Linked DNA regions of Schizosaccharomyces pombe. Changing the gene in region 2 together with the main gene of any one other region gives a genetic interaction. Each region holds a gene or a part of one and is shown on either strand. Other genes may lie near its edges.

Evidence for each region. Genes that interact genetically often act in the same process or in processes that back each other up.
Region 1: mutations in rhp6 (region 2) and cdc13 are lethal when combined (synthetic lethality), as found in Schizosaccharomyces pombe (one study listed by BioGRID).
Region 3: of rhp6 (region 2) and brl1, changing one suppresses a phenotype caused by changing the other (phenotypic suppression), as found in Schizosaccharomyces pombe (one study listed by BioGRID).

What each region holds. Positions count from the first base shown.
Region 1 is NC_003423.3:418,337-423,776, reverse strand, and holds cdc13 (G2/M B-type cyclin Cdc13), read right to left. Parts: upstream 3,667-5,440; 5' UTR 3,469-3,666; exon of another isoform or gene 3,342-3,468; intron 3,116-3,341; 5' UTR 2,655-3,115; coding exon 1,206-2,654; 3' UTR 509-1,205; downstream 1-508. Other genes in the region: protein dsh1, read left to right, coding at 39-108, 179-508; exocyst complex subunit Exo70, read right to left, coding at 4,301-4,366, 4,468-4,504, 4,558-5,440.
Region 2 is NC_003424.3:303,422-307,262, forward strand, and holds rhp6 (ubiquitin-conjugating enzyme E2 2), read left to right. Parts: upstream 1-2,184; 5' UTR 2,185-2,301; coding exon 2,302-2,343; exon of another isoform or gene 2,344-2,390; coding exon 2,391-2,455; exon of another isoform or gene 2,456-2,635; intron 2,636-2,668; coding exon 2,669-2,789; intron 2,790-2,894; coding exon 2,895-2,998; intron 2,999-3,046; coding exon 3,047-3,170; 3' UTR 3,171-3,341; downstream 3,342-3,841. Other genes in the region: SPOM_SPAC18B11.09C (serine O-acetyltransferase activity), read left to right, coding at 1-219, 295-372, 431-598; protein pat10, read left to right, coding at 1,042-1,114, 1,253-1,310, 1,350-1,439, 1,498-1,534, 1,579-1,608; U3 snoRNP-associated protein Lcp5, read right to left, coding at 3,543-3,841.
Region 3 is NC_003421.2:2,238,067-2,242,654, forward strand, and holds brl1 (histone H2B-K119 ubiquitin ligase complex (HULC) subunit, ubiquitin-protein ligase E3 Brl1), read left to right. Parts: upstream 1-1,780; 5' UTR 1,781-1,908; coding exon 1,909-3,987; 3' UTR 3,988-4,088; downstream 4,089-4,588. Other genes in the region: transcription factor TFIIIB complex subunit Bdp1, read right to left, coding at 1-602, 653-1,144, 1,190-1,220; pep3 (ubiquitin-protein ligase E3), read left to right, coding at 4,439-4,588. UniProt on the Schizosaccharomyces pombe protein: E3 ubiquitin-protein ligase which belongs to the histone H2B ubiquitin ligase complex (HULC) which mediates monoubiquitination of histone H2B to form H2BK123ub1.

The sequences.
Region 1 (5,440 bases), on a different chromosome or scaffold from region 2:
GCTGACTATTAAAAGAAAATTATAAGCTGACCATAAAGTGATGATGGAAGAATCTATTTTATGAATACCAGAGACATAAAAGTTCGGAGTCTAGTTGTCAAATTGAAGGTAAATGAAGTTCATTTAGGCATTACTGTTGGTTTTTACAATTTTTGAGTAAGTAGTTAACTAATTTTAGCATAAATATTGGCATTTATCTTCCGGTTTTCATTTGCATATAACTCGGTTTGAAGCACACGATATGGGCAAAGTTAAAGATATAGATACAGACTTCGAACCTGGTCTCCAATGTTACCAAGTTGGTTCTGACACTTCGGTTCTTCGTTATGGACTCTCGTTTTGGGATCCAAAATGGGATTATCTATTAGCTGATAATCAACATAAACAGCAATGGCAAGCTCCATCTTATAAACCACTGATATCGGAATTTTTCCCTATGGGCATTGAACATTTTATCGAAACGGCACAATCCATTGTTATGGCTGTAAATCGATCTACTATTGATTAATAAAAAAAGGATCACGATATTATTTTTAAAGAAACACATTTAATGTTTTGGTTTAAGTTGTCTATCGAGAGTTAGATGTTATTTGTTTTCATTTTTATTATGAGCAATATACGTTCTGCAAGCTATGAACATAATAAAGTAGTATTCACCTCAAGGAACTATCATTATCATTATTATTATTAATATTACTCCGACTCATGGTGTAGGATATGGGATTCCCAATCGGCAAGTAGCTCAACATCCAGAAAATATAGTACTATTTTGTTATCGTAAGGTCCTAATTGTAAAAAAGAAATAATAGCACAATACTCGTAGTTGTTTAAAGCAGCATCATTAGCAGAAACACAATTGTTATAACGTTACTAGCCACATAGATCAAAACACATATGCGACAGATAATCAAATCTAAGACTTAAAGGTGGGATAATTTAAAGGCATCCATAATTACACTTCTCCAAATGATTTTGGTTTCATAATGACACCAGCATGTACTATGCATCTGGCAATCTTCAAGTACCCGAGCATATAATAATAGAACAAAACAAAAACAAAAGCATTAGGAATTATCGGCGACTCGTTTACAGGACATTACGGTTGCTATTAGTGATAAACTAATACACATATAAAGAGCGCTTGAACAAGTTGGAATATTCACAATTGAAAGAGGTTGAGATAGTGATATGCACAATACACTAAATTACCATTCTTCATCTTTCATGTCATGTTGTATACGTTTTTGCTTGTGAAAAGTATAATCTTCATCAGCGTCATCGCCAAGAGGGATAGAATTCTTCTTGATCCAGTCACGAACAAAAAGACTAGCTTTCATAAACTTTTTGGAGGCATACTTCTTGAAAAAAGCTTCATGTTGAACAGGCTTTTGTAAATAATTAATCATCTTCTTAACAACGGAAATTAATTGGTACTCCTCATAACCTGAGTAATGCACAAGATTACGATTCCACGGTCCACGTCCAAGCATTTCCCTGGCAAGGTACATAGCGGCAGCACACTGTTGGGAAGGGGGATAAGGTAAAAGTTTATGATCTAAAAGACCAATTTCAACAAGATACTTTGCAACAGTTCTTGTTTGAATATCGTAAAAGTCGGCTTTTGAGATACGACGTAGGAAATTCATAGGATTCGGGTAAGCAAGATTAAACTCTAGGACACGCAAAATGTAGCGCTCGGCTTGAAGAATTTCCTCTTCATCATACCCACCATCCGCCATATATACAAAGTTTTGGACTGAAGGGCACATCACCTCCTCATACTTGCTAGCGATGAACAAGGCAGCAATGCCAACCAATTGTAGTTTGTTAAGAGAGCATACCCGCAATGATAAAAATCTATCAATAATATTTACGGCCAAAAACAATGTTTCAGGAAGCAGTCGGAAACGAGAATGCACTTCAATTAACCAATCGGTAAGTATTCCACGCATCTTCCATGCAAGCTCTTTTTGACGATCCATATAAGTAGGAGAGGGCATAGTTTCAATTTCCAACTCATTCAAATATTCAAAAATATCAACGACATATTCAGAAACCATAAGAGGGTCAGCCCAATCTTCTGCATCCAAGTCATCCCAATCTTGAGATTCGGGACTCTCAACACTATCACGGTGAAGTTTGGGAATATCTTTCGAAACAACGCGTTCATCAACATCTTTCTTTAATTTTTTTGGAATAGTTGCTTGATCCTTATGGAAAGCATCAACCCCATGGGTTGAAACAGAGTGTGATTTCGTTGACAAGTGTTGAGGTAACGAGGGGACTGATGAATTAAAAACAGAAGGTTGGCGACGCTTCTTGGAAGCGGGTTCATCATCTGTTGCAGGGATTATAGACTTTTCCTCGAGAGCACGACGGGTACTGACAGAAGCAGTAGTGTGTCTGACATTTGTGTTTTTACTAGCTAATGGAACACCTTCTTTGTTGTGAAAATTGGAAACATCATCCAACGCATGACGCTTCTTAGGAACGTTGGTGGAAGACACAGTGGCTTTCTTGCCATTTACTAAAGAATTTTCTGAAGAGTGCAAAGAGCTTTTTGCACGGGCAATATGGTTTGAAGGATGATTTTCGTCATTGTTGCCCAAGGTATTTGCCAATAGGTGCTGGCGAGTTAAACGACGGGTAGTCATGAGGAAAAGAAGAAACGAATTCTGTCGGGGATTGAAAGAGAGGAAGGGAAATTAAAATATTAATTGGTTCAGGTAACAGAAATGATAAAAAAGAGGTTTTGAACGAACAACCTTTTTAAAGTGTCTAAAAACGTGAAGGGGTAGTACGGGACGGAGAAGATAAAATAGAATGAGTTATACTTGAAAGTTTATACAAAAATTTTAAGGATAAAATCCAAGCAAAAATGTATGTTTCTCGTACGTATAAAGGAGAAAATAATAGCCTTTGACCGAATCTAGAATTTGGCAAGAGCTTTTGAGACTTCTTTTTTTCAATAAAGTAAGGGGATTGCGATGAAGTCCAACAATGGATATAGGAAACGTAGAACACGAAACTGAACTTTGAAATGAAGCTATATGTAGAATCGATGTACGATTTTCCTATATTAACACCAGAACAAGAAAAGAAGGGTAAATGTTGACTTTAAATGACGTTAGTAAATCTAATGAAAAAACAAAATGGCACAATAAAGGATTATCCTATGAAAAAAAGAAACTTTGATAGGAAAATAAAATGGGTAGTTATTTAAATTTAAACCCCCATGTTTTACAGCACCCACCCCTTAATCCCTTCATAAATTTTAAAAAAATAAAAAAATAAAAAGAAATGAAGTTAGACTTAAAGAGGATTTCATGTTTTCGCTGAACTAGGTGAAGTCGAGGAAAAAGGGTGACTATTGATTGGGAAGAAATTTTCACATCTTCAGAAGGTCGTATTGTATGAAAATGTTCTTACACAACCAAAACTGTATTCCCAGCCTTTAACATTACTTACAATCTGATTAAGCTCTTGTTACAAGCAAGAAGACAAGACGAAAGAACAAGCTTTGCTTAACCGACCAGGTTCCGCTTCTTTTCTCGCCTCTAGCTCTAGACAGTGACTAATAGGGGAAAAGTCCTGTTCTTGCTTATATTTCTATGAGCAGGAATGTCGTTTAAGGGTAAAAACTCGTCAAGATGCTGGTTAAGGACAGCTCGTGGTAGTGGAGTCGACTGAAAGGAGTATCGTAGAGGGCGTAAACACTATGGGGTTGTCGGGGTAACGCAACGTTGGCAAGCTGGGAAACAAATACAAACATCAAATAATATGGTAATTTTCAATGTAAACAATAATATAAATATTAAACAAAAACAAACACGAGTTTCGTAAAAATAAGAAAACGGAGATATGGAACCACAATTTAATGTATATGAGCTACCTCACTATTGTAAAAAAGAGGTAATAATGTTATTGTCTATGAAATTATGCTGGGCACATTATATAAAGTAAAGAACGTATATAATCGAAACATGATTGCTTGGGAAATGCAATTAAAAATTAGTTCTTCAAGTTTTCTTTAATAATTACAATATTTAGTGGGTAGCTTACTCGTAAGCAGAATCTGAGCAGGGTAAACAACAAAGTCATCAAAAAAGGGGAGTTAATAATTAAAAAAATTATATGGAACGATTTAATAATGTAAAATAGAAGTCAAATTTTTGAATTTGAGATATGGTCCGTCTTTATTTACATCAGTCAAATGCTTCAAAGAAAAGTGAGAATGCCAGTACACCCACTTTAGTACTATATTATGGAATTTCAAAGGACCCAAATTCATCATATTGAATCATAGGGAAGGAGCAAACGCGCTTGTAATAAAAGAATCTAAATCAGCCTTTGTAAATTTGATATACTACGTAATGAGTAAGCAAAATGAAAAACGATAACAACTTAAATGTATATACACATCGATAAACTAGCAAATGAATATCGACAAATCCTCAATACACATACCTTGTCTTTATTTTTTGTAAAATCACTGTTGATGTATCTAAACAGAGGTTAGCTATAGTGGAACTAACAGTTTTTAATTGATCTTCATACTTATCATAGAACCTTTGATATAAAGGTAGTACAGTTTTCTTAACTTCTTGCAATAGAAAAGTGGCAACACCAGTTTCAAACCTAACAGATTCACGATGCACTTGAACAACAGATGTAACTTGTTCGTTGAAGTTTCGGAATTTTTCCTTTGTAATCTCTCGTTCTTTAGCAGACATAGTGGATTTGTTTTGAGATTTTGTATAGGTAGAATCGAGCATATTTTGAGAACACTGTCGCCAAACTTCCATATACATGGTTGAGTACTTTTGTGATCGATCTCCTAGCTTTTCTAAATCAACGTCTTGTAAAAATGATGCAATTTTTGACTCAAGACATTTTGCTTCAAAATAGACGCTGATGTTTAAAAGCATTACGCCCATTTTCCATCCAATCGTATCCACTGCCTGGGCAGCTGTTTGAACAGAAGTTAGGTAGGAATCCATACAATCCATAACATAGTTCCTCGTAATGTCTTGAACTGAGCGCGCAGGACTGAGATCAGCATTAATTTCGTGTCTCCAGCCCCAATTACCAATACTTTCAAGCAAATAAGAGGCATTTTCATGCTCAGCAAGTTCATTCAAGAAACTCATAATACCATGAGTCATTTCACTGACTCTATCAGTTGTGAGAGGGACTGTTTTGTTGTTATGGCAAGTGCCATTATACAGCCTCGATATAGAAGAAATCAATATCTTTTCCATTTCACGACCAACACCATTCACAAAACCAAGGAAAGAAGCATCTTCAAAAGGCATAAGATTATTCATGTTTTGGCGTGTAACAACGATACAATCAATTAAAGACAACAAAACAAAATTTTCTGCAGCACCTCTTTTTTCATAAACTCCCTCAAGCTGTCTGGTGGCATTGGTGACAGTGT
Region 2 (3,841 bases):
GAAAATGTAGGCCCAGCAGAATTGATTAAAAGACGAGCTGAACTGTTGGCTGAAGTTTTTGTATTTGACGAATCTTCAGCACCAGAGATTGAGCCACCTATGGCTTTTGATTACGGATTTAACGTTCATTTTGGAAAAAAATTCTTTGCAAATTATAATTGTACATTTCTAGATGTTGCCATAATTACTATTGGTAATAATGTAATGCTAGGCCCCAATGTATGTTTATATATATATATAGTTACTTTCAAGTCATTCATTCAAAAAATAAATATACTAATGGTGTCTTTCCAGGTTCAACTATGTACAGCAACACATCCCTTGGATTTTAAAGCAAGGAACTCCGGAATTGAATTTGGTTTACCAATTAACGTATGCGTTAGTCCAGTTATTGAAACATCTTACAACTAACAAACAAAATTTTATCAAGATTCAGGACAATGTTTGGATTGGTATGGGAGTTATAGTTCTCCCAGGTGTTACTATCGGGGAAGGCAGTGTAATTGGAGCGGGTGCTGTTGTTACAAAAGACATCCCACCTAATACGTTGGCTGTAGGATCACCTGCCAAACCTATTCGTAAAATTGAAAACGAGTGAACGAGTGTAATTTTTTTTTTTATTATTTCATCTAACGATTAAATGCTCTTTGAACTTCTTAAGTTCACCTGGCTTGGTTCCTAAATTTTTAAAATAGTATAAATAATATTATATTATGTTTGAGCTTTAAATTGTTATATAGAAGACTTAGAATGCTAAAAGAAATCCATTTCTCACTCGCCAAGTAGGATCAGTTTCCTCCTATGACTTGCTAAAGCCCCCACGTGGTACTGCAATCGATTTTAATTCTAATGCTTAGCCAAGTCTAAAATAGTTGAAATTCTTAGTGGGATAAGAACTCTTAACCCCCACGATATATTTGAATGCTAAATAACCTAACCTAAAACCATTTTACACATTTTATTACTAACTTCATTATATTCTTGTAGAGGAACCATCCCATTCACCAGTTCTGAAGTCTCGACAACGAAAATTCATAAAATATGGCGCCTGCAGAACTTAAACGACCTGATTTAATCGTTCCCTACAAAGCTAGAGTCAAAGCAAATGAAGAAGGTAAAGTAGAAAGCACTTTCAAATTGAACCCAATCGTGAGTTACGCTGATTTAATCGCTCAAGCTTTAGTTCATTGTGGAATATTTTAAATCCTTTCTTTCGTCAAATAATTTATTAAGTTTGCTAACCCTATTATAGTTGGCTTGAGTTTGGTAAGCACAGCCACGTGTATGGCTGCTTTATTTCTTCGTTTCAAGTATGTAAGATATTTTAGGATTTTCATGTTAACGAGAAGATTAATTGCATGGGTTGCTTTTATCCTAACCTTTTCAAATTTACTGAACGCAAATACGTCTCCCAGCTCATCTCCGACTTCAATGGCTTTGTAAGTAATCCTAATTCATTGCATTAATGTAGTTCTATGGATGTTAACATTTGATCAGTATGGGTATCGCGGCTCTTGTGTCAACATATTTACCGGTAAGTTGAATTTTTATATTTACTTTGTCGATTAACTTGTGCAGCAATTTTTAAATACTCCAAACAAAACTTAGTAATTTTTAAGTCAGTGAATTAATAAGAGTATTAAGCTGATTTTTTTCTGGATAATTAAATTTATGCACAATGTAAATATCTAATGGTGAAGAGTTCAGATACATTTCTAACTACCATTTCAATCACGTAGCAGACGCGTAAAAAATTGGCTGTTTGTGTTTTCTCATTGTTAAGCTAGTGAAAATGTAAATTTATTTCTTACATCCTGTTGCTCTTTCATTTTTTCTTCCTAATGTATTTTAGTTGCTTTTTTAAACCCAATGAGAACAAAGGCTTAAAGTAAATATATATAATTTTCACATGTTCAACAGTTTACCGTTAACAAATGCACGGACCTTGATTATGATTAATGGTTGAATGAAAAATATCAACTTTCCTTATCTTTAACTATAATTTAAATGAAGTAGTAGTTCATTAATACTAAAGCAGACTTGCATTGCAAATGCTGAACATTACTAAAAGGTTGGTCTAGTTATAAGGTAACTGAGCGTGCACTTTATTATTTTAACGTGTTGGGTGCGCCCCATTAATAATGAAATACTGCATATGAGTGAATGGTCCTACTATTGTTCCCTGCCCTTCTCCAACAACGCAAATCGGATATCCTAACTCGGTGTAATTCCAAGGCGATATCGATATTTGTGCAACTTTTTTTTAAAGTTATCACAAATAGAAGAGAGGTTGCTATAAAAATGTCAACGACCGCAAGAAGACGTCTCATGCGAGATTTTAAGGTACGGCAGTTGTGGATCCGAGAAGACTTATATTAACCAATTCTTAGAGGATGCAGCAAGATCCTCCTGCTGGAGTTTCAGCTTCCCCTGTCTCTGACAATGTAATGCTTTGGTAAGTGTTTACCTATGTCAATTCATTTTTCTCTTATTGTTATGCAACGTAATGGTGAATATATGTGCTATATATTGAATGCCTTTTTTGCCATATATTTAGGAAGGAGATCGTTTCAAAATTCTTACAAGAAGCGATCTTTTTATGCTTGTTGGTTTCTGGATTGATTGCTTTTGTTTTTTATTATTGATGTTGGACTAACCATTTGAGCAGGAATGCTGTTATCATTGGCCCAGCAGACACTCCATTTGAAGATGGAACTTTTAAGTTGGTTCTTTCTTTTGATGAACAATATCCTAATAAACCTCCTCTTGTAAAATTCGTCTCCACAATGGTATGCTTAGTCATTGTATTTAGACAAGTCTTAAATTAGATTATTTGATTTGTTGTAATTTACTTTTTTCTTGGTTTTTTTTGTTTACTTACTTATTGGCTTTAGTTCCATCCAAATGTGTACGCAAATGGCGAACTTTGCTTGGACATTCTGCAAAACAGGTGGTCTCCAACTTACGATGTGGCAGCAATTCTTACCTCTATTCAAAGGTTTGCTTTTCAGAAATATTACTTAAATTTCTCATAACTAACTTTTAGCTTACTTAATGATCCAAATAATGCGTCCCCTGCAAATGCCGAAGCTGCTCAGCTGCATCGTGAAAACAAGAAGGAGTATGTGCGTCGAGTACGAAAAACTGTAGAAGACTCCTGGGAAAGTTGATTTCAAGACATAGCTGTCTTAATAATCCCTATTTCATTAGAACTTACTCTTCTTTTTCAACCGCCTTTCACATTAAATCTATTTAAGTGCTTCAAAGTTGCCAAAATTGTAACTATAGTAAATCATTAAGATTTTTTTGTTTACATCTACGAATGAATGATTTCTTCCTTATGTTTAGAACTTGTAAACTATATTAATGTGCGACTAATCACATATACAGACATGTACATGCAAAATTTATATTGATCTTATTAAACATAACCTGCCCTAAACCACACAAAAATACCAAACCAAGCGCAAAAACTCCATTTTTTTAAATACATATGGTCAATTTTTTTAAGTAAACCTCAACGGCTGTTCCCAAAATAATGATTAACGACGTTTCAAATTCTTCTTTCTTTTACGATATGACTGGCCAATTTGAACAGGTGAAGCTAATGAGCCATCGTTAACGTCTTCAAAATTAGCACGTCTCTTAGCTCTAGAAGTCAGGTCTAATTTACGATTTGAAAAGTCATCGTCATGGAATTTGCGATCAAGCAATGACCAGTCTTCACCACCATAATCGTGTTTCTTTACACGTTTAGATTTCTTTAAATCTTTCTTCGATAATTTAGGAAGGCGAGTATAATTACTTTCCTCATACTCTATCCTCTCACGCATTTTTTGCA
Region 3 (4,588 bases), on a different chromosome or scaffold from region 2:
CCTATTTCCCCAAGTAGCACTTGTAACCCGACGACTTAAAGAATTTTCTTCAACGTATTCGCGTTCCTCTGCTGGTACAAAATCACGTTCATGACGGTCGACTTCTAGTGAGGTTTCATCCAGAACAATTTGGCCATTAACAACTCGCGTACGAGGAGTTGCAGAGTAATTGGAGTTGTTATTCAAACCATCAACTTCCATTTTATCTGCTAACTGATCAAGAATAGACTTTGTTGGGTGAGAGAGACTATCTTCGAGAGAAGCAGACTCATCCGTACCCTCTTCTTCCAAACTTCCTACTATTTCTTCTTTCTCTTTCGGTTCGCTTGATTCTAGAAGACTGGCACTCAAAGGCTGTTTGATGGTAGAATCTAAAGACGCTTCTCGACTAGAGCTTGCAGTACTTGCTCCTTGTTTTTTAATCCTCTTTGCTCGTTTTTCCTCAAAAAGCATTTTTTCTAATTCGATAAATCGTTGACTTTTGCGGCCAATTCCAGGATCATCACATAAAGCAGACATTTTGGTTTCACTTATGTTAATGATTTTCTCGTCGGTACCCACGTTTTCCAATATCAATTGACTTTTTCTTTTCAAAGAAGATTCTATGATGTTATTAAATAATGCATTTTAGATTAACCCTTTATTTACGTACCTCTATATGAACGGCGAGACTTTTTTGTAGCCGGAGAATCCGCCTTTCCGTCACTAACAGCACTGAGCTGAGAAAGGGGAATGTTCTCATCAAAAAACAAATCTAATTCCTTCATAAATTGCTGTTCGGCTGAAGAGGATAAATCGGTTTCAGGCGACAAATGCTCAATAGCATTTAACGGCTGCTCAAGAACCGTTGGCTTAGAAATTTTAAAAGTAGGATTTGAATGCAAAAGTTTTTCATTTTGTTTCACTGAATCATCTTTTCTATAGGATGAAGCTGTGGGATTTTCAGTTGCCTCTTTGTGAACTACTGTTTGCACAACCGGACTAGAAATATCAGCATTGGCAGTATCACGAGACAGCTGAGCGGATGTTTCTACTTCGTTTCCTGTGAGGGGTTGATTTTTTTCTTCATGAACAACCTCTTTTTGGTCCGATACTTTCTCTCTACGGGCTGTAAATTTAGGGGCAAACCTTGACATTGATTTTTCTGGTAAAACATTAGTGGAAAGCCCTACTACTTAAAAAAACGTACTTGTAGGTGAGGTTAATATTTGCGAGCTCATTGAGTCTGTTTAGACTGTAACTTCGACTCAATTGCATGAATTTCAAAAATTATGTGGCAGTGCGCATATGTTTGTACAAACATTTGCCTGTTGTCCATGAACCAGTAATATTTTAATAAAGAGGTTATATCCTGGGTATAACTGTACAACGAAACCAAGCAAGCCCGTCTGAATAGATTAATATATATGTGTAAAAAGTTTTATAGTCGCAATGATTGAGTAAGATATAAAATTAACTAAAGGTAGAAATAATCAGGGTCAGCCTCGAACAAACTTAGTTATTATAAAACGCTGGAAATGTAAGCTATAGTTTACAGATAAAGCAAGAAAATACTTTACACTAATATGAATAGTAGAATAAATTCAGCAATTTAGATAACCACCGAAGGAATTGAAGAAGCCATTGTCGTTAGCTAATGTTTATTTTGTCATTGCCAATATTAATTATATTATACAAATTACTACTTCGTAGGCGACTTTAAAGACAGGCATAACTAAGGTAAAGAAACATATTATTATAGCGAGGAATCTATTTGACTCACTAACGAGACATGACTACCATGTACAGATAACCTGAAAAAACTCATTAACCGTAGGAATTGGCTTAGTGAATGTTAATGAGCACATATTTTGATCCTAAGTACTTTATTTTAATTATAAAATAGAAAAGGAATTTTTTTGAAGTGGAATGAGCGTTGTGAATGAATCGAGGAAAAGAAGACGTCTTATTCACAGCGAAAAAGAAACGCGTCGTTTAGACCTCGGAGAAGAAGATGACTTAGAGTTATTTCAAAAGGAAGCAGCTTGGCGAAGATCTAGAGAGTATGAGCATCTCACTGTTTTGGAAAAGAAATTATACGAGTATTGGGAATCTCTAGTTTTGAAACTTGATCATTACGTTGCTGCTGCTCTGGAAAATCATGAACAATCATTTGAAGAACTAGAGAAAATCACTGCTTCTTTATATCAACCTGATGATAATTTACAGACACTAGATTTGTCACTTGCTGAGTTCAGTTTAATCAAAGATGCGCAAAACTATTTGAATAAGTATGCTTCCTATTTTCAAGCCCATGAACCTACTCTACAAAAGTTAGCTAAATTTGGTTCTTTTAAATTAAAAGAAACTCCAAACGTCCATGAATGGATAGACCAACGCCAGGTTCATTTTACAAGTATGATTAATTACCGTACTAGCCAACTTAAGTTGGCACTCCTAAAAAGGAAACTTTCCTTCTTTCGTGAAGCTTTGAATTCAGCTGAATTAGAATGGAAACGGGTGCAGCAAGATCAGCTTACTAGTGCTTCCGAAAGAAGTATTGAAAATATCGCTGATGATATCCCTGCTTCGGAACCAAAAGCAATTCTCGAAAATGGGGAAGGATGTTTAAATGATAATGATAATATTTCAAAACTAAAAAACAATTTTCAATCTCAAGCTGATTTGATGCAAGCAAATATAAATTCCAAATTGGATGAACTTTCTCAAAAATCAACTCGTGCAGCACAATTGTACGTCGACATTATGGGTATAACGGATGAAAGAGTGAGTAGAGAGCCCCATTATTTAGAGCTGAAGGGGGTTCTTTCTTCAAATGAAGAGAAAATCGAATCCATTAATCGGGACCTCTCTTCATTGTTTGAGGACATTCAGTTTTTTATTTCTCAACGGACGAAACGACAGAAGGATATTATTGATTTAAAATTGGCATGTGTAAAAGAGAAACAACAACTTATTAAAACCCTTGAATCATCTTTAACCCAAATTCGTAACGAACGAGACTCTCTAGTGGCGAAACAACAAATGCAATATACTAACAATCTATTTTTTGACGATATGATGCTTTTATTAAGCAACTTGTCAAACGCTCGGGTTGCAATTCTAGAAGGTTATTCAAATCGATTGTGCATATGGGATCGTATTGAAAGGTCTAAGACTGGTGAGATGAATAATGTCCTAGATGAAAAAGAAGAAATTTCTGCGTCTTCAGCTTTGGAAAAACTAATAAAAAATAATAGTTGTTTGGAGGCTGAACTCCCAAGTATGTATGCAGCATTTGATCAATCACAATCTCGTTTGTTGAAGAAATATGAAGAACTTGAAACGAAGGAGAAAAAAGCTTTGGAAATGCATTATGAAAAGGCTCGTGCCACCCAAAAATATTTTGCTGCCATGAAAGCTCGGGACATTCTTATGACAGAGAAGAAAACTCTTAAACTGGCCGAAAATAAAGAACATGATTATATAGGGAAGTTGCAAGAGCGAGAACATGCGCTAACAAAATATGAATCCTCTTTAAAAGCTGAATTGGAAGTTTATAAACAAATAAAGGAAATCTACGGGAAACACTCGGTCGAAGTTTTAACAGAAGATAAGCACTTACAAGTTAAGCAAACAAAACTTACTCAAAAACTTGAAGATCTTATAGAGTCTGTTCAAAAATCTGGGGAAAAGCTTATGATCATGCATCAGAAGTTGTTTCATTTGCAAGAAGAGCATACTATTTTATCCATAAAAGCTTCGTATAATAAGAAAGAGTCTCATCTTATAAACCAGGCATATGAAACACAAGAGGCTCAAGTATACAAAGGAATGTTAAAATGCTCCGTGTGCAACTTTTCTAATTGGAAATCTAAACTCATTCCAAACTGTGGTCATGCCTTTTGTTCTAATTGTATGGAACCTTTTTATGAGCATAAAACAAGTACATGTCCGCAGTGTGAAACACCTTTTTCGGTTTCCGACATTTTGACCATTCATCTTTAATTCTAGATCATCTTTTATATGATTAACGTAATGTTTTTGTTATTTTGGTACATAATATATTTTTTGGCATCAATAGTTATTGAAAGAATAGTCAATCCTATATACATATATATATATATATATATATATTTATTTATTTATTTACATATAAATATGTATGCTTTTTTTAATAAAAAACTAGTAATATCTATCAATTTGATTAACTTATTCCATTAAGCAACTTCGTTCATTCATATGCTAGTTTCGCAAGTCTAGCATCATGACTCACTCTCCATTATCCATGTGCCAAAAATAGAGGGTGTGTATCTGTAGCGACTGTAACTAGCGAAATAGGAAACAATTAATTACTATTAATTATTTTTTTAAATATTGGTAAATTAATTTATATTGGCAGCGGAATTATAATAATTCATCTCATTTTCTATTGATACGCGTGCAATCCCATTGAACAATGAGTCTGGCCGAGGATTGGATTGATCCTAATTCTTCTGAAGATTCAGATATTCAAGAAGATGCGGAATTGGAATACACAGCTGATAATCCCGAAAAGGAGCAAAGAGGTGTATTTTCCTTAGAGAAGGTGCAACTGCAGTTCCCTGTT